4 linked regions of the Struthio camelus genome follow. The protein of the gene in region 1 interacts with the protein of each later gene in a pairwise test. Links are inferred from orthologs where the notes say so. Each region holds a gene or a part of one and is shown in the gene's direction. Other genes may lie near its edges.

Region 1 (7,254 bases):
CACGTGTGCATTCTGGTGAAAAGTACCAGAAGCTTTCACGTTTTCAGTTATTTTTCCCAGATCATATACAGGTCATCCAGCACTCAGCTCAGGACATTTCAACTGTAAAGTCCACAATGACAGAAAGTAAAAAAGCCCTAAGAATGTACTTAAATCTAGTTGAGTTTGTGTAACTTGTGAAGAAAGACAAGACCCCGAAGCATTTGATGCTTGGGACATGAAGTGATCATTTGACTGTGCTTTCTGAAGGGTGTCACTTGTTCCTAGTCCATTTCTGCCTTGTTGGCACAGGCAGGACTCATGTTTACTTTGAAAATAAGCCATTTACATTAAAAACACCTGACTGCTTATTTTTCTTCCAAAAAGAACATTGGAAGGCCCTCAAATCACCTGCTGCTTGGCTAAAGCCAACTCTGGTATTCCAGGATTACGCTCTTTAATTTTTTCAGCCTAGGCAGAGGTAAAAAAGAAATTATCAGGATTTCAAAATCATGACACCGACTAAGGCAGATTTTCTGCCCTCTTCATGACATTCAGATAAAGGAACAGAAACTACTTGCAAGACCTCTGCTACGTATATTGCAGCATGCGACTGTGTGCAGAAGCTGAAGAGCTGGCACAGGTGAAGAAGCAGTGGGTCTTTCTCCCCTTATCTCCTCCATGTAGTCAAGTAAAAGCTATATAGGATGCATCTCACATTATCACTTAGTAGCTGATATTTATTTATTTTTATTCTTAATACAGATGTTCTTGAAAACCTTAGGGTTAGAAGAGTGAGATTATTTGAAGCCTTCCCTACTTGTGGTATACTACAAAACGGTTCATGTTATTCACATGTAAAAAGACATTTTTACAATAAATACATTTAAGGAATCAAAAAAACCCAATCAGATTAATGCTCTTCCCTGGCACCTTCAGGCACGCTTGAGTTGCTTCTGCATAGAGCAGTACCACCATCTGACACACTGAGCTAGCTCCTGAGCATTCTTGCACTGGATCGTATTAATCAAATGATCTTAATAAATTATTAGCTTACAGAAAGTTAAATATTTCCACTTTGAAGCCAGTAGAAAATAAGGATTAGATTAACAAGAAAGTACCCTAAAAAAAACTAATTGCTCAGTAGAATAATATTATGTCCCTACAACTTAAGTTTCAAAACACTTTTTGTGGATCCTGTGATTCAGATACTCATTTTGATTCATGTCAGTTGAATTGTAAAAGTATTGTACAAAACTGGGTTTCTAATGTATTTTTAGCATTTAGATGAAAACATGCAATGAATAACAGATCCATTTTTGAGTACCATTTTAGAAAAATGTTCTTACAAAACAATTACTAATTATTCCTCCAAAAGCCTCCCAGATAAGGAAACAAGTATTATTATTGCATGTTTGAGATGTGTGCTACTTGAGACATGTTAGAGAAAGCGCAATAGCAGTTTACTATGATTGTTCCAGTGTGCTCGTTAGAATCCTTTTATAGACATGTGGAATTGCTATCCATAGGAATATTACAATAAACATAAACTGTCTATAAATAGAATATGCCCTTCCTTGCATGCTATATAAGACAAAAATAGATTATGTTTAAAATGGTTTAACTCACAAAAAAAAAAAAGACACTGTACAAGCTTTCCTCACTACAACATTTTCTTACTGTTTTCAATCATCAAGAAAAGGAAAAAGTCTTCAGGAAAAAATTCTGGACATCACTGTTAAGTCCCAAAGACAAACTGTACTTTCAACTTTGTGTAAAAAGGAAGATTTCTGTAAACAAATACCCTTGATAAACGCAATACTGCCCTGATTCAGTGCATTCAGACAGATGCTGCAATTTCACAGTCTGGCCTAGGGTGACATGAGGCACTCCAGCTACTCTCAAAATGGTCAAAACTCCTCCTGATTGACAGCATGCTCCAGTCTCTCCCTTCCTTGGGAAAAGCAGCCAATCAACATTAGTGTGGGAATCACACATTATTATCTCCAAGGGAGCTGGCCCCATCTTTTCAAACAGGAAGACAAAACAGCCCATCTCTGCTCCTTCTCCATGATACCTTAAGAGTTGGGAAGAAATCCAGCAGCTGCAGAAAAAAAAGGAAATGGGATTAGAGCTGACAGAGAGGGCTCTCGCACAGTAGCTAGGAAAAAGTGAGGAGGTACATTGGAGGCTGGGAAGAAGGAAAGTGCGTTAGGGAGAAAGTGATATCTCTTCCAGTAGCACCACAATATTTTACTCGATAAAGTTGGGACAATGGGCTGTATCAGCTGACAGGCACACATACAAAGACCAGGCAGGGGGAACTCAAAATCCAAGCAACGGACAAAACCACAATATAATCCTGTATTATAATCTAATTTACTTCATGGTCTGACTCATGATTTTTGAGTCCTCAGGGCTGGCAATACTGCTCCACTTTGCCATCGGATCAAGTAGCATGTTACCGTGTAAACTCCTGAAAAGGGGAACGAGGGCCGCGCTGCGGCTGCTCACTGATTTCCCTGCCCACCTGGGCCAGCTGCAGCCACGGCGGTGGCAGCGCGCTGCGCGCCGGCTGCAGGCGGGGAAGCCGAGGCGGCGTTTCACCCATCCTCCTGCGCCATCGCCCACCGAAACGGCTTCCAGAGTTACACCGTTGGCCAACGGGCCACAAACGAGCTTCTCTTCCCAAGCGAGCAGGTGAACCGAGCAGCACATCCTCGGAGATGCCACCTCCACGGCAGCATTAAATGACCTGATTCAAAAGTAGGGAAGATCCGCAGCAACCTGACCGTATTTCTTGGGTCAGGGCGCTTCTGGTAAGTGGTGATATTAACGAAAATCTGAGAGAATTGGGTAGGAACACTTGCTACGGAAAACACGGCACCGGGATCCGTTTCATGAACCCCCCGGCGCTTCCCAGCAGTGAACAGCAGAGGCTCTGGCGCTACTGCTGCTACGTACTTAAAGAGTTACATCCACTTCGGTCAAAAAAAGAAAAAAAAAGTGGAAAAAAGTGACAGCCCAGCCTAGGGCTTCCCGCGGAGGCACCCCTGGACCTCTGCGGCCGCCGCGTTTCTGCCGCCGTGGGGCCGCGGCGGGTGGGGGACAGCGATCCTGTCCCCCAAAACGCCCCGCGGCGCGGGCCGCCCACGCAGCGCCGCGCGGAAGCGCAGCTCACCGCCCATAAAGCCGCAGGCGGGTCCGGCCCGGCCCGGCCCCCCCGCGCTGCACAGCGCCTGGCGCGGACCTCCCGCCGCCGCCCCTCGCCCCGCAGCGGCCGCCGCCGAACTCTTTGCCGCGCAGCGGCGGAGCACGAAGGGAGGGCGGCCGCCGCGCCCGACCGCGCGTATCCCTCCGCGCCGCCGCCGTGCGTGCGTGCGTGTGCGGCGGCGGCGGCGGCTCCTCGGGCGCGCGTGAGCCGCGGCCGGGGGGCGGGACTACTTTCAGGAAACTCGGGCGCAGCGCAGCGGCCGGCGGCGAGGGGAGGCGGCTGCGGGGCTGCTCGGCGGCCGGCGCCGCGCCCGGGGCAGCGCCTTCTTCCTCGCTCTCTTCCTTCCCCCCCGCTCCGCTCGCGCCCGTGGTTATTTTGGCTCAAGCTGTGGCGGCGGAAGGAGCTTGAAGTCAACGCTTCCGCCCAGTTTTCCTGTGAGGAGGCGGAGGAGGAGGCGGAGGCGGCGGAGAGGGGCCGCGCCGAGACTGCCGCCGCCGCCGCCGCCGCGAGAGGAGTTGTTGCCGGGGAGGGAGCGCTGCCGCTGAACTTCCCCGCAGGCTTTCTCTCGCTTCCCCCCTCCTCCCCCAACTCCGCCGCCGGGGGGGCTTCTCCCGTGGCCCGGCCGCTTCCCTGCCTCCCCCCACCCCCCTTTTCCCTCCTCACACAAACAGCCGTGACGCATCCCCGCTCCCCTCAGCCCCCCCCCCCCGCCCCCAGCCTGGTTTAAAACGCCTCCCTCCCCCCGCCGCCAGCCTTCTCCGTGGGACCGGCGCCTTCTGCCGCTGCAGCGCCCGGCGTCGCTGGAGGGCGGCGGGCAGGAGCGACCCGCGCTGCCCCCGCGCCCTGCCCGGAGGACTGCGTGCTGCCCCCGCTGCCCGCCCGCCGCGGGGGCCGAGCGCGCCGCAGGGCGGCGGCGGCCGCGGGAGATGAGCGGCGGCGGGCGGCGCGGGCGGCGCAGCGCCCAACGGCCGGGCGCCTTCCCCCGGCCCCGCCGCGCCGCTCCCCGCTAGGCGCCCGCCTGCTGCGCCCCGGCCGCCGCCGCCGCCGCCGCTGCTCCCGGCGGGCGGGGAAGAGCGCTCCGGCGCTGGACAACCGGATTTGGTGCCTCTGGGATAACGCTCGCTCGCTCGCTCCCCCGCTTCCTTCCCTTGCCTTCCCTCGCGGCAGGACGTTGCTCGTGTGCTCGCTCGGGGAGGCCGATCCGGGGGCTCAACGATGGTGAAGTTTCTGGTGAGTTCTCGCTGCGCCCTGGCTGCGTCGGTGCTGCTCCGTCCCCGCATCGCATCACGGTGAGGAAAAAATGAGCGAAGAGACGGCGGCTTCTAACAACGAGTAAGCAGCGGTGCTCCGCGGCCTCCGCGCGCTGCCGCGGTCTCGCGTGTGTGCTGTCCGTGCGGCCCCGCCGTCCGCAGTGTGCCTGCGTGTGTGCACCCGGGGGACACGCGTGTGTGCACGCATCTGTGTGTGCTGCGCGTTGGCGCTTGCCTGTGTGGAAGCCCAGGAGCGCTCTCTTTGTGAGGGAGCTTGTTTTATTGGGGCCGAGAGCCGCCGTCCAGGGCAGCGTGGTTGAATTAAAACGTTGTACAAAACGGCGCAGGTAGTGCTGGTGTCTTGAATGGAGGGGGAGGGGGGAGGGGTGGATTTCGGAGAGCCGAAGAGATATCGGCACATACCACCTCTGGTAATATCCTTTGCTTGTAGATATTTCACATGGAAACTAGTGTGTGGGAGCTCCATCCTGCAGGAAACTGCTCCTGAATTTTAATTGGATGAGTCAGTCAGTGTAAATACAGCTTAAACCTACCCTAAAGCCTTTTTTTTTTTTTTTTAATGAGCACTTGGGACTTCTTTTTTTAAAAGAGGAAGGGGACAGTTCAAGGATCTTTTAATATCTTTTAATGTGACTGGTTTGGAGGAAATCCAGAGGAGAAAGTGTATGCGTGCGGGTGTATCTCTGTGCGTTTAGTTTGTCTTAAAAATAAATTTCGGGTGGGAGGAGATGAATATTTTTCAGAAAACATCGGAATTCTTTATGGCATTGAGAAACAGAAATATAAAGTATTTTGAAACTTTTTTATTCTCAGAAAGTTTAAGTGCATGGAGGCGTTTAAGGCTGATTACTACAGTCTCTGAGCTTGGGCATAACGATTTGCGATGTAGGTATTTGCTGTAGCTTATTTTATGAATGATGTGACAGATCATAATGCCGAGACAGCTCTTGGTAACGGTAAAGGACCATTGCGTCCTTTGTCTTTCATTTTTTTAATAAACACTAGCTTGATAAAGGGCAGATAGATAGGATAAGAGAAGAAAAGCCTCCTTTACTTGGTTGGAAAAAACGGATTTTTCATTTTAACGCATTTCTCAAAATAAAACATTCACACCTTAATAAAAGCTTCCTAGCGAAGAGGTTTTGATCATCGAAGGCAAATGCTGGTAAATCCTTCTGGAGTAAAAGGGCGCTCGGAAGGCTCCGCCGCGGTCTGCGGGGCTGCGTGCACCGAGGGCTGTGTGGGAAGGTGAATTGCTGCAGTGTCAGTGGAGCTGGAAGCTGAAGCCGCCGCCATATTTTCTTTTTTGTGAATCGTTCTAATTTGCATACCACAATCTCCATTCATAAAAACCAAAAAAAAAATTACTGTCATCACCGCTGACCTGCAATAAAACCTGCCCTGCAAAGTGTGTAAAGCTCGTTTCTTGTATGTGAGAGTGGACCGTAGCAAGCAGATTGTGGATGAAGATTTTTGAGGACCTGCTGTATTAAAATATGCTGTTCACTGCTTGTTGACACAGTTATGTGGGAAATATCAGCTCGGGGAGGTGCTGGGAGCACGTGATCGGCTCCATTCATAAAATACCTGGCTGTCCATTCACAGTGCAGTACAGTGTCTGCATTGAGCAGAGTTGCAGATTAGACCTGCATAAGAAGGGAGAGACAGACAGACCAGGAGGTTTGTCTTAGCATGCAGTAGATAAGCAGCTCATAAGTGTGTGCACGGAGAAGTTACTGTAAAATTAGGGGGAAGTTATTTTTATGGTTTGTGTTCCTTTTTAATATAAAGGAGCATTAGGTCAGAAATACCTTTTCCTGCTACATTCTAACATTTAAGCACAGAAATGTTTTATTCAGCAAACGTTAGAAAATTTTCACTTCCAGAAATAGTGACTCAAAATAATGAAAAACAAAGTAGTATGAACATGACTTCAAGACAGTGGGCTAATCACTTTATGGGAATAGACATTGTATTGAACAATGCTAATCAGCATGTGCGTGCTATCAGCCTGGCACAGAAGTAATAACCACAAAATCTGTTTTCCATATTACCAAGTCAGTCATACCTAAGAATACTTCTGAAAACATTATGTCTTATAAAATACAGGTAATCTGTAAGACTGCTAAGTGGATGGAAATCAGGAATGCAGTCATTTTTTTTTGTCTGTTTTCTTTGAGAATTTTATGGCAGATTAGGTATCAACATTTTTCTGTTTAACCTGCACTGTGGCTGAAGAAATCTTTACAACAGAATAAGAGAAAAATATTTTAAGATGGCATAAGCTATTTAAAGGTCAATGCATTAGTTCTAGTTTTAAAAATTTTGAAATCATTGTTCAAAAAACATTGAATGAAACTTAGTGATGAAAGATCACTAAAGCAGACCGTATTATTGTTTGATCTAACTAATTTGCAGTTGCCAGTGTTAAAATGGTGATGTTCACTGCTCACAAACACACTATTTCATTATCTTAACAAATTATACTAATGTGATCCTTAATCCTGTGCTTTTTGGAATGGCAGTTTTGTCATTAATGTAAGCAAAGAGAATACCTGAAAGATTTCTAACCTTTACTTAAAATGACAAAGGAAAGTTCACACCACAATATTTAATGTGAGATAATTCTATGCTTTATATGCAACTAAATGTATTTAACCTTGCAAAGCACTATCAACATCAGTACTTTTTCCTATACGATTTTTTCTTTTTTCTTTTCCTTCAGTTGTTAGACTATTAAAAGTAGTTCTAACTGAAATATAAGAAAATATTTATCTTCTCAGTTTCCTT
Region 2 (7,971 bases), on another chromosome or scaffold:
ATTTCAAAAAAAAGAAAAAAGGTCATTTTTTAAAAATTTATATGACTTTTTAAAAGGATGGCCTTTTTAAGATTCCCTTGATATATCTGCTGTGATTGCCGACTTCAAACAATGACCCGGATACTACTACTTTTTTAAAGACTACATTAGTGTTTTAAGAAAGCAAGCTATGTGTTTGCCTCATATTATGGTATTTTGATCTGAAAACCAGATGAGGTATCACTCTATGTATATATGTTGCTATAAATTATTTTCATGGTTTGTATTTTCATGTTTATAGATTTGATCTAGAGTAAATACTCTTTCCTTTTTTCCTGCTGCAGAAAGAGTAATAAGTGAATTTGGAAAGATGTCAATAGGCTATGAGCTGTACAGTCTTATTAAGCCTAAGGATACAGTTTGATATCCCCATTAACCTGGGTTTTGTCTGAAGCAGTTTTCACTCTGATTGCCAACATGATGCCTACTGGTAGAAGTTTTAAGACAAAAATCATATATATTTGATTTACAGCTGTTATTAAATAGGTCAGTGTACCTTGAATGGTCCTTGGAAAGGCAAGCCTGTAAATAATGGAGTAAAAACACATCCTATAGTTTGGCTTGTGCAGCCTGCTTTTCCCTGCTTCTCTTAACAAGTGCCTTACTAAGAAGCCTGTGGCTGGGCTGAGTTGCAGCCAGCATCGGAAACTGGAACAGCTGGCTCTGGGTATTGGCTTTGCTCTCACCATTGTACTGGGTGATTTGATATTCTCCCCTTCTCAGTTTCACCTGAGCATTGATGGTGTGAGAAGGCATATCATTCCCGGGTATTATCTCTTGAGGTACTACAAACATGTGACCTGAGCTGTAAGGAAACCCCATAACGTATTGAGGTACTTTCAGAATTGCATGTTTAATGTGACCCATTGAAATGTCGTGAGAGAGCTTTTTTAGCATAAGGTATTAAACCCTTTTAAAAACAAATCTCAAAGTAGTATGGGTTATCAACATTTTGCAAATGACTGCTGTATGGTTTTTGGTGTGTTCCAGTGCCTGAAAACTTTTTAATTTCCTGATAACAGGCACAGAGAATAGAGCAGCTGAAAAACGGCTAATACGCTATAGCGATACTTGGGATGAAAAAGATAGTATTCATTTGTAGGTGAATTATTTGCAATTAGATAGGCTCACTTTTTTTTTTCCTCAAAGGTGAAGAAAGTGTATATGAACTAGATGATGGGTTCTGTTTTATTAAATCCAAGCATTTTTTCATAATATCCAGCACTTCATGTAAGAGCTTTTATAAGCGTCTGTCTTGTTGTTCCAAATGTCTTGTGCCGCTTTCAATATGCCTGGCCTAAGATGAGCTGACAGTTTAGGATTATCAGTGATGGAATGATACAAATTTATTTCCCTGCCAGCCCAGATGAGCCACGGCCCAGGCTATCTGAGTTCCTTCAGATAGATCTGTCGCGTGAGCATGGTTCCTAGTGAACAATTATCCCTGGGGTAAAAATAAGCAGCAAAACTAGCTCTTGCTTTTTCTTTGGTCTCAGCAAAAGATCATAATTTCTTAATGAGCATAAAAACAGGACAGCTCTTTTTCCTAGAGAATAGCATGCCTCATTTGCTATAAAGTATGTGGAGGGCAGGGGGGGGCCTGAAGAGTACAAGAAAAAGCTGGAACTGGTGTCACTCAGTAATGTCCTGCAATTGCAGAAGACCTGCAGGCTCCAGAGAGACAACCTAGCGCCTTTTGCAAATATTGTGTTGATGTGGGGGAAAGACAGGTCTACTGGAGAAATGGAACCTGTTTATAGTCACTAAAAGTAATAAAAACCATTTTTTTTTGGTGTTGTGACTTAAGATGAGAGTATACAAAATATGTAAAAGTTTCATATTTGAATGTCCTCAGGTTCTCTAAATGTATATGAGATACCAAAGTGTGGTTACAACCCCATTCCCCCATATATGTGTAAAATATTTATATAGTTTCAATAAAACTTGAACATGGAGAGGAATATACCTTTGTTTGTTAGTTCTGTGCTTTATTGTGAAATCTAAAATAAAATTAGGCCATGTCAGAGTAACCTGGTGTTTACAGCTTTTGGCTTGTGGGAGAAAGTTCCCTGTGCTCCATACACTGTCTTGCACTTGTGTGCTCTCCACTTGACCTTTCTTCTTCTGGGGAATGGGGTTTGCAGTCTAGGGAACTGAAAAAAAAAATTTATTTTTTCTGGGTCAAGGAGAAATTCTTGGGAGCCCCTTTAGATTCAAAGAAGAAACACTCCAGAGCTGTAATGTCGCTGGGTGCTGTTGGATAGCTGGGATGGGAGAGGAGCTACCCCTCCACCTCTCCTGGGCATGCTGGTACATACCCCTTGCTCCAGGTAGCAGCCTGGAAAGCTTGTTGCCTGTTGTTTGGGGTTAAAATGACCTTGTTCTCTGTGGCAAAGAGGTGGCTGAAGCTGTGATCTTTTCTAGGACGCCAGGAGCCATAAATTGGTATGTATGAGGGCCACCTCATGCCTGCAGTCCCCCACAAGCCTCTCCTGACCAATGGCAGAGGCTGGGTCCAGCGAAGCGCAGGGGCAGCTCCTGCCTGCCGGGGCATACTGTGGGCTGCCGGGACACAGGCTGAAGATGCCTATGGGAGCTGGCAGGGTGAGCCTGGCAAGTAGCATAAAAAAACATGTAATAACAGCCGCTCCCGTGCAGGGACCTCACTAACCCATAGGAGATACCAGAGGAAATGCAAGTGCGGCCCCTTGTTGGATGTGAGAGGTGCCTGAGGGAAGCTGCAGACTCCATCCTGTGACGGAGGGACAGGTTAAATACCGTTTGTGGCACCTGAGCCATCCCTCGCGCCACGAGCGCCAGCAGCAGAGTTGCGCAGCACCCTCCAATCCCCGGTGAGGTGCTGCTGCTTGCCCAAACTGGCTCAGTTCTGTGGGGCCTGCCTGGACCGCTGTCTTCCCCCAGCACTTGCACAACCTCCCTGCATCTGTTTCCCTCCCCGAGGGTGCCAGCTGTGGGGCTGGGCACCCTGGGTGCATCCATGCGCAGCGTTGGGGGGGCCCGGCCCCCTACCTGAGTGTCTGCTCCTCGGCTGTCGCGGCCCTGGTGGGGCCTTCTCGAGCCAAGAGGATCCCGCCTCCCGAAATCCAAAACTGCCTTTGTAGCTCCCACTGTTTTCATTCAAGCAGAGAAATTTGGGCCTTAGCAAAGGTGATGCTGATGAGCACCAGCCACAAGCACTAAATAAAACCTGAGGGCTCTGCGCCCAGCCCTGTCCTCTGCTCAGCTGCCTGCCGCATGCAAGGACCGTGGCGCTCAGAGGGGCATCAGCTGGTCCTGGTTCTTGCTGGGAAAAAGAAGAAAGTAGGTGAAGACAGGGCAATTAGCAAGCTTTTGATAAACTATTCTTGACAGCTCCTAGTTTATATTGCTGGAACGGTAAGATTTGTTATAGGCAGTTAGGATGTCCGGTGTGTGGCAGCACACCTCAAACTGCAGCTATACCCTGGCAGCTGACAGTGCACAAATCTAATCCCGCTGCGTTTTTCTTCCTCGCCTCTGACTGTTATTAAACCGCCTTCCTGGCCCTCCCCAGCATCCCACTGCTGTCAGCAGAGCTTCTCTGTGCTGAGCGGCTGAACGGGGCTGGTTTTCCTCCTGGTGGAGCCCTCGAGTCATCAAATCCTCATGTCGCAGCCAGCAGGTTCTCCAGAGCTTCTGGGAGAGACACAGTCACCCAACAGTCATATGTTAGTATTAGAAGTAGCTCAGCATGCGTTTGCCGGGAGGATGTCTGTGTGACTGGGAGGGCTGATATCTGCACTAAGCCATGCAGAGGTAGACACATGCATGTATTTATGCATATATAAGAAAAAAATATAAATATATACAATCATAGAAGTCCGGTACACACTTATAAAAGAAGACTTGAGGAGAGAAGACTACAAATGCCAGCTTTTATCAAACCCTCTCCCTGCAATGGAAGGGTGACATGATCAGCTCAATATCGCTGGAAGAAGCCCTGTTTCTGGTCTGCCGGGAGCCCCCGCAAGCTGCTCTGAGCCCCCGCACCTTGTCCCAGCCCAGGAGCCTAGGTTGCCTGCGCCGGGGCGGGGGTCAGGGCTCTGGCAGCAGATTGTGCTGCTAACCAAAATCCTAAGGTAAGATTTTTCAACACAGGCAAATCCTGGGAATGGCTCCGTTTGTCCTGTATAGAGTGCGTGTAGCTGTTTCCGAGAGCAGCAGCTTCAGGCTTTGGGTGGTGGAGAGAAAGCAAGTCCCAGTTCAGCTTTCTCACGTGCGCGTGGAGAGGCAGCTCTGTTGGGTCCTGCAGCTGTAGAGGGGCTATCAAAAACTAAAGAAAAGTCCATGGCCAGCTCAGTTTGCAGGACATGTTTGCACAGCTGCTGCAGAGACAGAGTCAGGAATTCCCTGTTGCAGTTTTGACCTTTCTAATGGACTAAAAGAGGATCTGTGAGTGACAGGCTCAGGATCCATATGACAAGCAGCAGTGCGGAAGGGAAAGCAGGAGCAAATTCCACTGCTGCTTGTGAAGCTTGGCTGTCCGGGGGCTCATTCACTGCAGATCCTTACTCCTCTCAAATCTGCTTCAGCAGCTCACCCGGGGTTGTATCCCCCAAAGGATCTGCTGTTTCTTTGCATGTACCATTCATCATGACATTGGCTCTAGAAGAGCTGCTGGTGAATTCACATGCACAAATCTTTATTGTCAGGCTCTTTTTTTTGCTGTACCCTATAGTTCGGTTAATGTTACTCTGCAAATGGCCCTGGCTAGCTGCTCTAATGGCAGTACTGTGTTCGATAGCGCTGAGGACGGCCCATGCCATGGAGGTGGACGCTGCACAGGCAGCTCCAGCTTTCTGAAGGGTGCAGTGCAACTTCTGTAAGTGGCTGCCTCAGGCTCTTAGTGAGAGAGGAAAGCAGCTGCAGGGCGCTGCGCGGAGCAGCTCATCATGGAGGCAGAGGAAGCGACCACAGTCCTGCCACGGCAGATGGCCGCCCTTGCACCCTGTGCGCCGGCGATGCAGGGTGCTTGGTATTGCAACAGACAGCATGGGATCCTTTCACGAGCGCTGCAGAGGCGTGAGGAGGTAATCACCAATACTGAGATTAGCAGATTAATGGAAAGAAGGTATTTTCAATGCTTCTGGGGTTTCACAACTGGGGACCAGCTCTTGCTCCTGTCCCTCTGGTGCCCAATGAATGTCAAAAAAAGTCTTTGCTGTGCACAGCGCTAATTCCTAGATGGGTTGTTACGTGACCTGGTCAAAACCTCTTCCTAAAAGCCCTTCCTAAATGCCATGCAACACCTCCTGCTCCATGGCCACACAGAGAAGGAAGCGGCTGGGATGTAGCCAGGAGGTCTGGGCGGCTGCTTTTCAGTCTGCTCTGTGTGACTGTTGGTTTAGTGATACAGTGACCGTTCAGCTGTGGCTCATGCTGACGTCCTGCCTTGCTTGGACTCAGCTCCTGATAAGCTGCCTTCCAGGAAGCCTTGCCTTGAAGCACACAGGAAACGGTGTCAGATACAAGATCTGCAGTGCAGCAACCGCGGGCAGATGCTGGCAAGCCACACGTGTGCTAGTCCCAGCCTGGGCTGGAGCAGCCTGCACACTGATGTGGCTGGAGCAGTTTCAGGGGCTTTTCCTCTGCCAGTTATAACCAACAAGGTCCTATCTCAGAGTCTCCATAAATTGTTCGTTTTAGAGAGGAAGCTTCCAAAATCAGACTGCAGACTCTGGGCAAACAGCAGAATAGTTGATGTGATTTTTTTTTTTTCTCGGCAGTTGGCAGAGCCAGGAAGAGTGTTAAGAACAAGTCTTAGTGTGCAAATAGTTTTTAATCATTTGATGAAAGCCTCTGGCACCGCAGGCTAAAATTCAGAGCTGCATGAAAACTTTGGCTGCCCAAGAAAGTTTCTTAGCACAGCTCCAAATTTTGTTCTGCCAACCCCTTCCCTGCAGTGCAGTGTTGAACAAAGATGCATTTCAAAATAGATCAAATTCAAGTTATTTTACAAGGAAATGAAAGATGTGTTAACCAGTGACCTTAAAATGCAGGAAGTTGTTTAATCTCTGCATTTCATAGGGGGCTCTTTGGGTTTGCTACTAAACAGCCTGCACAGCACCTGTTATGTGCTCATGGTGGTAACCTGTGCTGGCCTGTGCCTGGGGGATTTTCAGAGTTTGGACCGTTTGACTACTCCTATAGTCAGTTTTGAACAATTAATTCAATGAAGACTGAGGTTATGTCTGCTGTCTCCTGGAAGACAAGTACCATCAAAGAAGCGAAACTTCTAGTTCTTCATTAATTCACTTTCTTTGGTAGCATTTTGGATGATTGATGGGATTGATGGAAAGGTGTTATGGGCTTCGGTTGACTCAGGACATGAGTACGGAGTTAACTGAGGTCCCGCTCCATGCCAGAGCAAAGTGTGTCTTGGTGAGAGGCGTGGAGGGTCTAGAGTGGGTGCACCTGCCTGCGGGGACATCCCAACACAGAAGTCTTGTGCCTTTCTCCAGGAAAGGTGCTGCGGCTGGCTGAGTAATGGCAGTCTGCAGCACGGCTGAGCTGCAACGTACAAAACACCAGGCAGATCTGTGTCGCCCTGCCTGAGCTGGGGCTCTCCGACAAAATACTCTGAGAACATCTCCTGGGGCTCTACAACATCCCTGGCTCTTCTGAGTCCCAAGCTCACAAGCAGGCAAGGCCCAGGGAAAGGCCAGGTGCTCCTGAGCAGCGGGGAAATGCCTATGAGTAGGATGAGTCTGAAAGCCAAAGATGCGTGGGAGCATCTGGCAGTGGGAGCAGCAGGCAGGCAGTTCAGCCTGTTGACTTGACGCTGGCAATTGTGTGACAAAAAATGCTCATCACACACAGACTTGGGCAGTCGTTCGTGTCCTGCGCTTGCTTTCCCAATGGCACCATCACCCTGACTCTGAGGGACTCAGCCTGATGGTGGATAGCATAAACATTGCGCAGCCAACAGAGGCAGCGAACAGAGGCAGCAGTTTGCGCAGCAGTGTCTGGGCTCTGCCTGGGCCTTTTGTGGGCCTTGTTGGAAGTTGTGGAGACTTTCTGGGGACCCCCAAGGAACTAGACGGTGCTTGCTGCTAGCAGGAAGGGAGAGCTGGGCAAGGACTCCTGCAGGGGACCTTGACTTAACTTCTCCTGGGAAGCTCTAGCCAGGTGGGGCTGCTGCTAACGAGCTCTCTGGGCTGCCCTGGTCAGAGGAAGGTTTTGTTTCAGGTGGCTCCTGATTGGGTGGGTCGAGCACCCTTGTGAGTCACTGCTAGGCAGAGGCCTATATAAGAGCCAGGCCTAGAGCACAGCTCCCAGAGTGCAGCCAACAGAGGCAGTGGACAGATGCAGCAGTTTGTGCAGAAGGGTGCCAGAAGGCAAAGGTGGCACCTCTCCGTTTTGCACAGTGGTGTGTCCTTCCCCGGGGCATGGTCATGACACGCCGCAGAGCACATTCCCCAGTGGCTGCTGGAGGTGCTGCATCGGCTGTGTCTGAGGCTTCAACCCAGACAGACCCTCAGACAGCAGATGCAGCCTTGCAGGTGTCAGGCTGCAGGGAGTGCCTGGGGCCCCTCCATGGGGCCTGGGCTGACAGTCAGCTCTGCTGTGTGAGGTGTGCTGTGGCTGACCAGTTGCATCACCAGATAAGGGAGTTACGGGAGGAGGTTGGTAGGCTGCGTAGCATCCGAGAGGATGAGCAGGAGATTGACAGGGCGTTCTCGGAGACTGTTCAGCTCCAGGAGTCCCCTGCCCCCACTGCAGCGGAGTTGTCAGAGGGCTCAGCACTGTGTGTAAAGGTGCATCATAACGCTGTTGAAGAGGGCTGGAAGCTGGTGACCTCTCGTAGAAGGAGAAAGGCTCTTGCTCCTCCTCAAGACTTACTCTTGAAGAACAAGCTTAGCGCCCTCCAAGCTGAGGAGCAGCTGGGCATGG
Region 3 (7,181 bases), on another chromosome or scaffold:
TCTGGGGACATGTCTGGGCTGGGGTCCCCTCCCAGCTCTCGCTCCGGACTCAGCTCCCAGCTGCTTGGGGCCATTTCCCCCTGGGACAACAACCCACTGTGGGTCTTCCCAAGAGGAGCACGGGGGTGACTGGAGATGCTTCTCTACCTCTCTAGCTCTCTGCAGACCTGCTGTCTGTCCATCCCTGCAGCAACAAGCCACCAGGGTTGTGACACCTCAGGGTTCAAACAGAAGAGGACCAAGAGAAACCCCTGTGTCCAGAGCGCTGCCAGATCGGCTGCTCCCAGGTGTGTGAGTGTCCTGGTCATGGGTGGCTTTAGGTTGCAGCTGCCCTCCCTTGAGTGACCCTGCAACTGGCCAAGTAGGAAGCAAGCAAGCAAGAGCGAAAGCTGGGTTTCGATCTGAAATTCTGCAAGCTGCAGCTCAGCCCCAAACCCTGGGTCCCCTCCAGATACACGCTCCCCGAGACGTGCTGCCACGCGTCCCGTGCCCAGCGCAGATCCCCCAGCACGGCCAGGGCACATCGGGGCTGGGGCTGTCGCCGAGGGCCAGCCTGGCTCCAGCGCCCTCACCCATTCCCAGCTCGCCACCTCCTTTCCCAGCCGTGTCTCGAAGGACGGCTCTGGGTGCTTGGGTGGCGTAACGCGAAGGGGAGGGTTGTCTAGGGAGGCTGGGGGCGAGCAGCAGTGGTTCAATGTTTCCTGGTGCTCTGAGCATCTCAAAGAGCTATTTATAGCTGGCAATTAGTGCAAACGCCTTCCCCGGGGTGGGAGAGGAGAGACCAGGCTCGCTCTCCTTTGCCGGCTCTGCCAATGGCTTCCTGGCCGCGCGAAGGCGATGCAGCAAGGCGGCGGCGGGAGCGCCCGTGCGCGGCCCCGCAGCGAAGCAGTGCTCCCACAGGGAGTCTCGGGCGGCTCATATGGGGCATGTTCCTTAAACAGGGGGGCTTCCTGGCACTGGGGCCCCGGGCTGGGGCCCACGCCTTTGGGGAGCTCCTGGCCGAGCTGGGGGAGCCGCGCTGCCGGGTCCCCGGCCCCCCTGCCTGGGCACAGCCCCCCGAGACATGCTGGTGCAGCCTGTAGCCGCTGGGGGAAGCTGCAGCCCTTTGCATTAAGCAGCGTCACCGGAGAAGCTGTTTTTTAGGAACCCAGCAAGGCCCTGGCAGCTCTGCACCCCGGGAGCACGGAGCAGGAGCAATGCCGCAGCGGGAGCGGGCAGCAAAGCGGCTCCGTGCTCCAGCGATGATTGCAAAGGTGATGCCCCCCGGGGACAGCCTGGCCCAGGGCACACCGGAGCCTGGCATCTGCCCTTGCCCCAGGGTGCCCCCGTCGCATGCTCGGCCTGGCGCTCCCCTGCCTCTTCCAGCTGCCCTTGGGCTCCTTGGACGCACCTGGTTCCATGAGCTGAGCTGTGACGGTCTCAGCCCCTGCTGGCTGCATGGCAGCCGGGGTGACCGAGCGAGGTCCAGGGCCTGCAGGTGCTGCTCTCAAACTCCTCCCTGGAGCTTGTGCCGGCCCCGCTGAGCGCATTGGGTTTCGGCAGGCTTTGCGATGCCCTGCCTTAAATCTACTGCTACTGGGTCATGTCTGCTGACACGGAGGGGGAATTTGGTCTTTATAAGAGTGTTAACTGCCTCCCTGGGAAGGCAGAGGTTAAGCCGCCCACCCCAGCTCTGGGCTGCCACGGAGCTGCAGGGCCTTGGTGAGCGGCCGAGGGCACGCGGTGCTCAGCATCACAGCCCCAAGCCTGCTCCTCCAGCACGGGACCATCCCCGGCTTTGCTGTGCCGCCCTGTTGAAAGACGTAAGGAAACGTGCCAGCATCGTGCTTGCAAATCCCTGTCCCTGCAGGGCCGTTCGTCGGCTCCCACTGGCTGCTGCTTCATGGAGCACCGGGGGCAAAGGCCATGCAGTTTTGCCTTAAAACACTCACTCACTTTATTAATTCATTGCTCCCTGAGATAGAGAAGCACCTTCCTGACAGTAACTCTGTGGCCGTGGCAAAGGCCAGGCCCCCGCTGGATGCAGTCCCCAGCACAGCACCAGCGAGCAGAGGGCACTGTCTCTGGCCAGGATTTTGCTGCCAGGGTGGTGTTTGCTGCTCCTGCCAGCAGTGCTGGCGTCGGAGTTGGCTTTCCCATCCTGCCAAACTGGGAAACCCTGTGCCGAAGGCTCCCACGGCTGCAGCTGCCGCCTGGAAGCAGCTGGGAAGCGTCGCCGCGTTTTGCTTCGGTAACATCACGTCGTTCGATGCTGCAACCAGGGGACCCATCTGGGGACACCGCAGCAGCTCAGGGAAGGCAGCAAAGTTGCGGCTGCATCACCTCCGCCCGCAAGTGCACGGGGCCTGGCTGCGGGGCTGGGGGCTGCTGCCCAGCACCCCCCCATCCAGCCTGGGCCACGCTGGCCCAGGGAAAGCCCCCGGCGGCAGCTACAGCACGGCAGCACCTGGCGCCAGGGCAGCGTGGGGCCCTGCTCCTCGCCAGGCTCTGCTGCTGCTCTGCTTCAATTAAGCCCTCATTAATTTTTCAGTCCCTCGGAGCATCCTGAGAGAGGCAAGTTTGCAGTGGCACTAATTGATGTCTTCTCTACTTAAGCACGGAATAAATGGCAGAGGATTGCCCAGCACGGAGCGGGAGGTCTCTTCCCTCTGAGCCCTCAGAGAGGCTCATGGACAGGCTTTGAGGCCAGGCGTCCAGTGCTGGGGAGACCCCAAATCACCCCCGGGGTGAGGGGCTGCCCTGTGGAGCCCTGGGCAGGGGTTTGGATGACCTGGGAGGCTGTGTCTGGCAGAGGGGGGGGTCCCAGCTCCCTGTCTTGGGGCTGGCGGTGGTGGGTTCCTGCAGCTGCACTGTGTGTAAAAGGCTGCAAACATTTGTGTCTTTTTATAAACCATCCCACTCTGCTTTGGCCGGGGCAGTTTCTGCAGATTCCTGCAGCTAGCAGGGAGGCACATACCAATAAAATGTCCTTTCTTCCTCCGGCAGGCGGAGGGGAGGCGATGGGCAGCTGGCTGGGCTGAGGAGCAGCTCCTTGCAGCAGCCGGCAGCCCCCAAAAAGCCCCTGCCCTGGGGTTTGCCAGAGGGCAGGAGGGTTTGTGAGGCCCCCGGACCGCAGCGGCCCCGTGCCGCCGGGCAGCGCCTGCCCCAGCCCCGGCTGCATGGGACCTTCCTTCCCGGCCTGCCGGCAGCAGCTGCCATGTGGCTGGTGGCAAACGGCTCGGCGGCGCTGGGAATCCGCAGCGCGGCGGGATGGCCAAGGTCACCGGGAAAAGCAGCCGCGGTCGCCATGGAAACGCATAGCATTTGCTTCTGGAAATCAGGGTGGTTTTCTTCTCCCTTGGCCCCCTGCATCTCAGCTGCGATTCCTCCTTGCAGGAAGCAGCAAGCCCCATCCCTTAGCCCCAAGGTGGGGGCAGCCCCCGGGGCCTTTTGCTCAGATATTTGGCATGAGGAGGCTGTGCAGCCCCCCCAGCTCCTGCAGCCTAGGACCACATCAGGGGAAGGGAGTTTGGGGTGATCTGGGATCATCTGGGGCCTCGCTGCCGGGGCCTGGAGCCAGAGCTGGGCAGAGCGAGGGGAGCGCCGAGGAGAAGGAGGAGGCACTACGAAGCAGCTCAGCCCTGCAGCCAGGGAGATGCACGGAGCCAAGTGCTGGGCAGGGGAAGGAGCTGGGGAACAGAGCGGGAGAGTTTGCCAGGGCTGGCGGGAGGGTAGTCTACGCTGGACAGTCAGCGCAGCGAAATCCCTGAACCCGTCGTGTTCCTGCTCCCAGCATCCCACCCCAGCATCCCTCTCCCATTATCTCAGTCCCAGCATCCCTGTCCCACTGTCTCAGTCCCAGCATCCCCACTCCAGTATCCCCATCCCACTATCCCAGTCCCAGCATCCCCCACCCCAGCATCCCCATCCCACTATCCCAATCCCAGCATCCCAGTCCCAGCATTCCCACCCCATCATTCCCACCGCAGTATCCCCGTCCCAGCATCCCCGTCCCAGTATCCCACCCCAGTATTCTCCACCGAGCCCCGCTCCCACGGGCCCCCCCGAGCCCCCCGGCTGATTGACAGCGCTCCCAGCCAATGGTGTGCCGTGGCCGGGAGGGGCGGGCCGCCCGCGGTGACAAGAGGGGCGGGAGCGGGGCGGGGGGGGGGCGCAGAGCAGGGCGGGGGGGACGGGAGCGGCCCCTCCCGGCACCGGCACCGGCACCGGCACCGGCACCGGCACCGGCACCGCTTCCCGGCCCGGGCCCCGCCGAGCCGCCTCCGCCCGCCCGCGCCCTCTTCCAGGTAAGCGGCCGTCGGGGCCGGGAGCCGTCGCCGTCCTGCCCGGGAGCGGGGCGGCCGTCGGGGCTGGAGCCGGTCCCTTCGGGAGCCTGTCCCCACGGGAGTGGGGCTGCCGTCAGGGATGAGGTCGGTGCCCCCGGGAGGAAGCTCCCGTCGGGGTTGGGAGCCGGTGCCCCCGGGAGCCGGTCCTCGCAGGAGCGGTGCTCCCGTCGGGGCGTCCTTGGGGAGCAGGGCAGCCGTCGGGGCTGAGACGGGTCCTGTCTTGGCCCCCCACCCTCCCCGGTGTGGGGTGCCGTGGGGCAGGTGCCTCCGGGAGCCGGTTCCAGTGGGCTCAGCCCGGTGCCCTGGGCTGTCCCCGTGCACGTCCCCCGGCGTGGGCAGAGCTGGCCCTGCAGCCCCAGGGGCTGCTTCCCCCCTGGTCCGGGCTCGGCTGAACCCGGCCCCATCCTTCCCGTAAGACCGGGGTCCCACACTCCTTCCCATCTCCTCCCGTATAGTGCTGGCTCACGGGGATGCTGGAGGTGCCTCTCTGGGTCTTTTGTCTGCCAAGGGACGATAGCTGGGTGGGGGGCAACCATAGCCACCCCTCTCTGTGCCCCCTGCCTCAGGGCCCTGCTGTGGCACAGCTGCTACTTCAGCTGTCACCCCAAGACTTGCCCCTCATCACCTCTGAGGGCAGGATCCGGCCCTCTGCCCTGCAGCTTGGCAGCTCTGTGCTCTGGGTCCTGCTTGGAAATAGGAATCGAGGTCTTTGGACCAAAGCAGCTTCTCGTGCCCTGGCCTCACAGGGTGGGAGCCCTTTAGGTGGGGTGCTTGTGGCAAAGGTCCCTGTTGCTGTTCCCTTCTGGGGAAAGCTGCCTCTCGCTAGCCGTTGTGCAGGGCAACGTGGTCGTGGTCCAGCGGGGCCGGAGGGAGATGCAGGAGGAAGAGGAAGACATGAGCATGGTACCTGGTGGGGAGGGATTACTGTCCCCGCTGTCCACAAAATCCCACCCTTTGGAAGATGAGTAAAACACCTCTCCCCCCTTGCACTGTTCAGGACATGGAAGGATTAATGGGTGCCTGCAGATCACTCGCCGAGCAGGGCTGCGGTGCCGGTAGGGCTTAACTCCACAAGCGTGCCCTGGGATCGGCGGGGAGGCTTTTGCCACTCTTCTCTGTGGTGTCTCCGAGTTCCCGGGGCTCTGATTGCCAAAAGGCAGTTGGTTAAGTCTCGCCGCAGCAGACTGGTGACAGATGCTGGTGGGATGGTGGAGCAGGAAGCAGCCTCTGCTGGAGGGATTAGCTAAGAGTGGGGCTGAACGTGAGCTCGGGGAGCAGCCCTGGGGCGCTGGGGAGGGAGGCTTGTGCCCAGCCCCGGTGCCCCCGATGCAGAGAAGAGAAGGACCCCAAGGGGCTGTGCGGGGGGAAAATCTGCAAGTCCCTGTGGCCGGGAAGCCGGACATGTGGAGCGGAGTTGTGGCTTGGTTGGTCTCCAGGTGAACTTCTACTCAACTTCATTGAGAGAGAAACTGCAGGATCCTCTTGGCTCACCATCTGTCGCTGCGCCGGAGCAGCGGCCGGCAGCCAAGGCTGTGTGGGAGCAGGCACGGAGCGTATTCGGAGCAGATTCGCGCTCTGCCTACGCAGCGGCTGCCTCGCAGGGCCCTGGCGCGCCGCGCTGCGGGGAGGCTTGCGCAGAGGGGCTGCGTGGTGGCAGAGACCCGTTCTTGCCCGGGGCTGGCTGATGCCCTCAAACGCCTCCGTTCGGCTTGGGCCGTGTCGCTGCGGCTGCCTGGGTGCTGCAGGTCAGATGGTGCTGGTGAGGTTTCTACCTCCTTTAATGCAAGCAGCGGGGACCCGTGCTCCTGGGCACCCTCGCAGCCCTCGCCAGGCAAGCAAAGACTCAGGGGTGCTTGTCACTGTTTCTTTGTCCTGCCTCATGGAGGGCAGCTGAACATCATGAGCTGGTAAAGCCTGTGATGAGTTTTCCTGGGTCCTCAGTCTCTTTCTGAGCATTTCTGCTGCAGCACAGAGGAGGCAGCCAAGGTGACAGGAGAACTGAGGGTCATACTGCTGGCCACAGTGGTGGGCCCCTGCCCTGCTCCAGCAGGAAGGGTCATGGCACCAAGCCTGGCCTTGGTGCTGCAGTCACTGTCCCAGCATTCACCAACGGTAGCCATGTAACGAGCCGGCTGGATTGGCTCATTGCAGCAGATGAGGCACACGGGATTGGCAGGTGTCACGCTGCCTGAGGAGCACCAGCTTTCCCTGTTCCCAGCATGAAGGAGCTGTGCGTTTCCTCTTCCAGAGTCAGCGATGGGGAAACAAAACAGTAAGCTGGCGCCGGAGATGCTGGACGACCTGGTGAGGAGCACAGAGTTCAGCGAGCAGGAGCTGAAGCAGTGGTACAAAGGCTTCCTGAAGGACTGTCCCACTGGCATCCTCAACCTGGAGGAGTTCCAGCAGCTCTACATCAAGGTGGGCCTCGCCATGGGACGGGGCCTGTGGTCCCAATGCAGTTCCCAGGGATGGCAGCCAGTCCCTAGCCCTGTGGTTATGGCATTGCTGAGCTCCTGGGCCAGCGGGCTGCTTCAGGGCACTGCTGCCCTGAGGATGTGATGTCTATCCTCCACGATGAGCTCCCCTCCCCGTTTAGATCTCTCTCTTCTCTCCTCCCTGCAGTTTTTCCCCTACGGAGACGCTTCTAAGTTCGCCCAGCATGCTTTCCGCACCTTCGACAAGAACGGTGACGGGACCATTGACTTCCGGGAGTTCATCTGTGCCCTGTCTGTCACCTCCAGGGGGACCTTTGAGCAGAAACTCAACTGGGCCTTCGAAATGTACGACCTGGATGGAGATGGGAAGATCACGCGGTTGGAGATGCTGGAGATCATCGAGGTACTGGTGATGTGGGGC
Region 4 (6,831 bases), on another chromosome or scaffold:
CTAGGTACTAAGTGATGAAAGGAATTAGAACGAGATTTACCTCATCTGACATAATGCAATACTTACGTGTTATGGGCAGTTTGCAGCTTCTGCTAAAAACAGCGCTATCCAATCATAATGTAAAAAGCCTCAACAACTTTGGAACACATACAAAACCTCAGAGTGCCAGCCTACTCTAACCAAGAAGGTGCTAGGAGGAAACTCTTCCCGAAAGCGAGTTCTCTCTTAATTGCTTTTTAGCAAGGCAATTCCTTTGAAGCAATAGCTATAGGCCATTGCTAGAGAAGGATACTGAATTAAGGATATTGTTTATACTGTGACTCAGTGTGCCAGTTCCTATGTTGCTATGTTTTGATGGATGGAAGGGCAGAGTGAAAGCTGTAAAACCCAAGACACAGATGACTAATTCAGTCCTGGCTTAGCAGCAGCGAGGGGATGGTTGTCCTGTGCAATGTAACTTGTTGTCTGGAATATGGTAACGTGTGAAAATTGTCACTGTGTTTAAGGCACAACTACTTCATTGGTTTGCTGAGCCATGTAAGGACAGGACAAAATTGAGACTATCTCAAACTCTCTCTCTTATTAACACATGGAGTATTTGAAGTTGGGTGGAGATCAAAACTGGAGCTAAGTTCCATCATTACTTAGATTTGCTTTGCACAGTACTAATGTTGTGTTTAAGTTTATATGCTCCTTTTTCGGGAAAGGTTATCACTAGCAGCAACAGGCAAAACATTTAGTACAGAACAGCCTGTATATCTAAAATCTAAACTTTGGATTTGGAAAATAATTTGGGGGAAAAGAGGGATCCGTTCCTGCATCTGCTATGGTACCAGACTCATCCTGCTTTCAGTCATGCAAAAAAATTAGTCATAAAAAAATGAGTCCAAGGACTACTTTAAGTCCGTTTCCCATCTCCAATATAGACTAACTCCACTTGTCAGAAAAGGGTCTCCATTAAGGGGAAACTATGACCTATCCCAGGCCAGATGTACCACCCTACCTGTAAATGGTAAAGTTTGACTTTTATTCTGAAGCAAGTTGCTGCCCCTTAAACATGTTACTCCCTTTAACTGTGGCTACTATTTTCATCTACTCACTCCTTGGGGTGAAATCTGTGTCCCACTGAAATCAAAGGCAAAATAGCTAACTTCAAAGGGCTCATGATTTCTGCTCTCTTCTTGCTCCATGCATTAATTATGCTACAGATTGTATTTCCTTTTATTTGTTTGGACTCTTTTTTTTCTGCTACATTCTTCTTTTCCTGTTGCTTTCACAAAAAGACAGTAAGGGAATACAGCTGATTTTCCTTATATTGCCTATTATTTCATAAATCTCTGTCAAGGCAACTCCTTTCTGTAAAGGAGAGTCCACATCACTTCAATCTTTTCATACAAAATTCCAGCCTCTGATCAATGTTCACTGCCTTTTTTCTGGTATGATATCTTTGAGCTAAGTAATGAAGACTGACCACAAGATCCAATATCAAAGCATACCATTACTACAACATGGCAGGCACAGCAGAGGTTCTCTTTCTTTCTCCTTTTTCCTTATGGCTTCTAAAAATGCGCTTTTCTGTTCACCACTGGGCACTGACAATTACTGTACAGAGATGAAAAAAGCTGCAAAAGGTTAGAGTGAAACATCATGAAAAACAGTCCCTCCTTGTGATATTTATGTTTCTGCTGCTGGCCTTGGCAGAAGTCCAGATTCTGCATGAACAAAACTCCCAAAGGCTTAAGGACTACAGAATTTAGCCCATAGTCAGGAAGCACAATAACATGTGACAATGGGAAGAAATAAAAAATAGCTTTCCAATGCTTTTGAGCTTCCAACTCGATCAGTTTGGATCAAAACCCAGGGGCTGTTAAGATTCTGTGTGAATGAGTTCTCTATTGCTAAACAAAAGCATGTGTGTGTTACCGTGTAAGACAGTTAAGTGGTAAACAATATGTGGCTTCGTTTTCTCATTGATATTTCATTTTACAGAACCAGCACTATAAAATCCCAATTTATATAGCAGGCCGCTGTCTTCTCTATTCAAATACAGTGATGAACCGCTTCAGAAAACACAAAATCAACTCCCTAATTCTCCTTCTTTCCAGGAAAGCTACCTGATACCCAGTGTTCACTACTCAGCGCCAAAGCATGGTTCTTCTACAAAAATGAGAAGTTAAAATCGTAGGGTAATGCTCCATGTTTACTATCATCCAGTAACTCAGGTTAAAACTGTCCCCTTTACATTAGATGTCCGTTGGTTAACTGATACCATGAAAACTTCTTAGTTGGGAAAGCAATACTGAATTCTCATCTTTTTTTAAACACTTAAAATATAAATTAGCCACAATTATATTATCAAGGACAGAAGGTGTCACTGCTACTGTAGATGACGTGCAGAGCAGAGCAGAGAGAGTTTTGCTTTTTGTCCCATCAGTTTTGCTTTTTGTCCCACTTGTAATTCTCACGTGGCAGTCGCCTGTCTTCACAGCCTACATTTTTAGATATCTAGAGGTTACAGGAGACCAATAAACATGAGTCCGTGTCAGCAAAATATTTCAAACCCATTTTATACTTTCTCTCTTTTGTGAATTTAGTGACAGACCAGTAAAACTGGGATCTTAGAGCCACAGAACACAGAGAGGGTAGCAGGTGTCTAAGCACTCTCTTGTTGACCATTTCCATGACCAGATGGGGCCAGGTGTAAAATTCAGGTTTCTATTTACATTTTCCAGAAATGTATAGGTTTTATAGGTTGTGGGAAAATTCCAAAGAGGCCTCTCTATTTCAATAAAACTAACATTAACTGTTTCAGAGACAATTCTTTTTGTTTTGGGATTTCTTTTTTTTTTTTAATTTACAAACTCCCTATGTATCTCGTGCCTACCTTACACTTAAAGCAGTCACAAAAATTCACTGAGAGAAAGTAGGTTTCTGAAGCAAGATTGTGTCTTGTCAGTGTGTGAGCAGAGCTGGGGGTTGACAGGCAGGAAAAGAGCAGCCTCTGTGTATTAGATGAAAACCAGCTGAGCATGCCTAGGGATGTGGTAGAAAGGCAGCTGACTGTTCCCACCAGCAATGGTCAATGCAGCTCACCGGTGCTGGCTGAGAGAAGTTGCCACAATAGTAGATCGGACTGTGAACCTTTTACTTTGCAGAAAAAGAAAGCTATAACAGAAGGAACTGGGAATCCAAGGCATAGTTCTCATTCCCTGGGATGCTCCACAGAAAGCGTAACAATTTACTGGGCCTTTGATCACGTTGGATCACAAGTTACAATCTAGCCCATAAGGAGACGAGTGTGCAAGAATTAGTAGGTTGAAGAGACCATGTCATTTCAAGGTGAACAATACAAGGGCTTGGCATTCAAAAGTGGCTCCTATTGTTTTTTGCTCCCGGAGCAGAAGTAGCCTATGAAATTCTTACTAGCTTAATGCTTAAAATATCTGCTGAAAATTATGAGAAACATGCTGGCCGTCTCGTCTCGGCCTCCAGCAGGAAATCCTGCACTTGATTAGCATCGATTTTCCTCCCTCTCACAGTAAGCCTAACATGCCTGAACCCCATCAATCCTAGGACCAGAGTGTGATGGGTAGAAACAAATGACACAGACTCCTTAAATGGTCTTTTCTTCCTTGGGTAGCGGGAAGCTTGCTGGAAACAGTTCCCCCAATACTGCATCCCATTGCTTTTGTTTATCTATCCTTGCTGACATTTTCTTCAATTAGGAAACAATAGCTCCGTTCCAATGTGCTGAGCAGAATTACTGAAACTGAGTCACGTGATATCATGAGGGTGTGTTTTCAATTATTCACTCTGTCTTTTTTTGCCAGGCCTATGAAGAGGAACAGCCTTCTGCAGAAGTCAGGTTTGCCTGCCTCGCTGTTGTAAGTTCCTCCTTTTGAATTTTTATTCTGCAATAAGTATAGGGTTTTTTTTTTTCAATAGTAAATCCAACTCTCCTAAAGTGCCTTTCTCTTTGTTAGAAAACTTCCAGATCTCTAGTTCTTCCTATTGCCTGGAAATCCTAGACATCTGCAATAGTTCAGTGTAATAGTATTGCTCAGGACTGAATCTGACAAAGATCACAAGATCTAGATTAAAAGGGGATGCAAGATATCATGCTGTTAGCACTTAGTAATATAAAACTCATCTTGTTCTTGCTAGCAAAGCACAGATCTAACTCTCCCACTGAGTGTTTAACAGCAGAGCACTACCATTCAATCTGGGAGCTACACCAAATTATTTATATCTTGTAAATGCTCGGTTTAATATACAACCAAAAATCTGAACCAAATGGGCACAGCTCAAATTATGTATTTTGTTTGCAGAGGACAGATTGAGTTAGGGCTTTTTAAACTTAAAGCTGGAAAAATAAAGCTTGAGGAAAAAAAAAAGAAAAAGAGAAGGAACATTTGGTTTGCATTACAAACCACAGACAACTTCCATCAGGCGCAGTGGAGGTATAGGAATGGCAAGAGAAAATGACAAGCAGCGAGTGCACTGAAAAGAAAGATGAATGGCTTGGAGAATTGACTTTGAAGTAATTGTCCATGCCCACAATACCTTGAATTAAATTTAGTGGAAGATGGCAATGAATCATAGGGCTTCTCTGGCACTGGCAATGCTATTTTCTGTGTAAAATAACATTTCTGGATATTTATATTGGGAAACTTACAGACTGTGTTTTTGGTGCCTCCTATATTTCTGTCACTTATGCAACCCCAAATCAGAAGCTCTGTAAAGGATGCAGCCTTAGTCAAGGCTTGGGCTGTGATCTGATACTTAGAGCAAGCATTTAAATGGAAGTCACCAGGTCTACAGGGTTTATTTTCAGCTCAGTCACTGGCTTGCTTTGAGATACTAGGTAAGTCATTCAGGGTTAAATTTGGTCTTTGAGAGGTGATTAAGCTCTAGGGGAGGGAGGGAAGGGGAAAGGAGCTGACACAGCAGGGCAGAAAAGATTTTCTCTCTGCATAAGACAGAATTCCTCAGGAGACATTGCATGGAGGGTGGGATGGCAGGGTGCACTTAGAATTGTGTTTCCTTTACTGTTTCAACAGGTGCTTCTGCATGTTCCCTGCATCCCAGATGCTTAACGCTAGTTGGAGAGGCAACTTTCAGAGCATTTAGTGCTGATAGCAATGCTCCCTCTTAAGCTCTGCAGCTTCAGGTAGAATGAGAAAGGGGTCCTGCATCTGTCTGACCTTCATTCTAGCACATCAACCTCCAGAGGGCCATATTTCAATTATTAAACTATCTAGTCTTCTGCTTACCCACGTACTTAATGGTTCTGTTTCATTCTTTTAGGGGAGATAAGAGTGCATTTAATTTTTGTACAACATCAAAATCCTTGAATGAAAAGTTTCTTCTAATTTTCTCCCACAGGCAAGGTTGCTTAGGTCTGAATGCACAGCTCGGGCTAATTTCTGACACTGTTTTTGCTGGTATCTAACAGGGATTGACAGAATCACAGAAGAAGCAACAATCCCCATTGTAGACTTTAAAGCGATGCACATTGCACAGACCTGTAGCAAGTTAGCCCTGCTGCTTCCTGTTGAGATGCTGGGGAGAGGTACTCGTTAAGTTACTCCAATGTGTCAGCAAGGCATGAAGTTCTCCTTGTCCATCATACCGCCTTTTCAAGAGTATTCTGTTCTAATGGGACAGATTTCATTTTTCCCTTCCTCTAAAATATCTTCAGACATACATGAAAAGCAACATCAAGCTTTAGAAGATTAACTTCTTAACACACTGAGACTCTAACAGGGATTTCCCAATTCAAAAACTGCAATTAGGTGGGTGCATAATAAAGTATTCTAAAGTTCTGGGCTAACCAAAAAGCTAAAAATGGTCCTTTTTCACAAAATACAAACCAAAAAATCCCAAACCTTGAAAGTCCTTACATATTTGTAGGGATAAGTGTGAGACAGCTTTTAACTAATGCAAAGTAATCAACAGAAAAGCATATGAAAGATTGCAAACTTGTGAGGCTGAATTTCATCAGCAACAATTCCTTATTTCAGCTCTCAAAGTTATTATTCTGATGAAATTCATAGCACTTTTCATCTCTGTACTTCAAAATAATTTACAGAGTAGAGGTTCTGAAAAGTAACTTCTCTCAATTGTGCAGAAAGGGAGATTAATGCTAGAGAAATACGACACAAAGTCAAAGACAAAGTCCACGTGTTAAAGCTGAGCTCCATGTCATCCCTTTCCCCATCCCCTCTGGCCACTGAATCCTTACACAAAGGCTGAGATGTCCTTTCATTCAGCGTGCACTCTGTCACATGAATGGAGCGTGGCTGTGCTGTTGGGCAGTCCTCCATCCACACTGCGGCTGCGTTCGTCCATGGCTGCAAATCCTGTTGCTATTCATAAGAAAAGAGGCTACTCTGAAAAAAAGAAAACGAAACATGGGACGAAGAACATGCTGTGTACTGAAGAGAATGAGGGAGAATACGCTAGTTCAATTTGACCCTTTCCTTGTGCAAGTGTTGGGGAGGCTGGGAACCCAGTGAGTTTGGTTCCAGTGTTCCCACTCAGCAGGGCCAGACTCTCCCATAGCGACAGGGACGAGACGCTCCCAGTGGACACACAGGAGAGGGGCAGAACACCCACCAGCTCTGTTGAACTTGACATGTTCTCCCAAAACCTTCAACTTTGCCGTGGAATAGCGTTCTCCTGGGAAACCCAAAGAATTCCAGTGCGCAGGGCATAAGTTTCGGGAAGCACTAGAGATTTTGTTCGGGAAGAGAGACATTAGGGAGAAGAGCAATATTAGGATTGGTATGACAGAATATAAGTTATCCCTAAACTTTTGTAAGAGTATCA

Evidence for each region.
Region 2: the proteins of SPRED1 (region 1) and NCALD interact in binary tests that used the Homo sapiens proteins (3 or more experiments, as listed by UniProt). The link is inferred for Struthio camelus from reciprocal best matches to the Homo sapiens genes SPRED1 and NCALD.
Region 3: the proteins of SPRED1 (region 1) and HPCAL4 interact in binary tests that used the Homo sapiens proteins (3 or more experiments, as listed by UniProt). The link is inferred for Struthio camelus from reciprocal best matches to the Homo sapiens genes SPRED1 and HPCAL4.
Region 4: the proteins of SPRED1 (region 1) and IL16 interact in binary tests that used the Homo sapiens proteins (3 or more experiments, as listed by UniProt). The link is inferred for Struthio camelus from reciprocal best matches to the Homo sapiens genes SPRED1 and IL16.

What each region holds. Positions count from the first base shown.
Region 1 is NC_090946.1:48,961,466-48,968,719, reverse strand, and holds the start of SPRED1 (sprouty-related, EVH1 domain-containing protein 1), read left to right. Parts: upstream 1-4,245; 5' UTR 4,246-4,493; coding exon 4,494-4,525; intron 4,526-7,254. UniProt on the Homo sapiens protein: Tyrosine kinase substrate that inhibits growth-factor-mediated activation of MAP kinase. Negatively regulates hematopoiesis of bone marrow.
Region 2 is NC_090943.1:145,636,412-145,644,382, forward strand, and holds the start of NCALD (neurocalcin-delta), read left to right. Parts: upstream 1-4,962; 5' UTR 4,963-5,108; intron 5,109-7,971. UniProt on the Homo sapiens protein: May be involved in the calcium-dependent regulation of rhodopsin phosphorylation. Binds three calcium ions.
Region 3 is NC_090964.1:8,065,682-8,072,862, forward strand, and holds the start of HPCAL4 (hippocalcin-like protein 4), read left to right. Parts: upstream 1-4,181; 5' UTR 4,182-4,286; intron 4,287-6,573; 5' UTR 6,574-6,581; coding exon 6,582-6,743; intron 6,744-6,947; coding exon 6,948-7,163; intron 7,164-7,181. UniProt on the Homo sapiens protein: May be involved in the calcium-dependent regulation of rhodopsin phosphorylation.
Region 4 is NC_090953.1:10,891,360-10,898,190, forward strand, and holds the start of IL16 (pro-interleukin-16), read left to right. Parts: upstream 1-3,830; 5' UTR 3,831-3,834; coding exon 3,835-3,884; intron 3,885-6,244; exon of another isoform or gene 6,245-6,831. UniProt on the Homo sapiens protein: Interleukin-16 stimulates a migratory response in CD4+ lymphocytes, monocytes, and eosinophils. Primes CD4+ T-cells for IL-2 and IL-15 responsiveness. Also induces T-lymphocyte expression of interleukin 2 receptor. Ligand for CD4.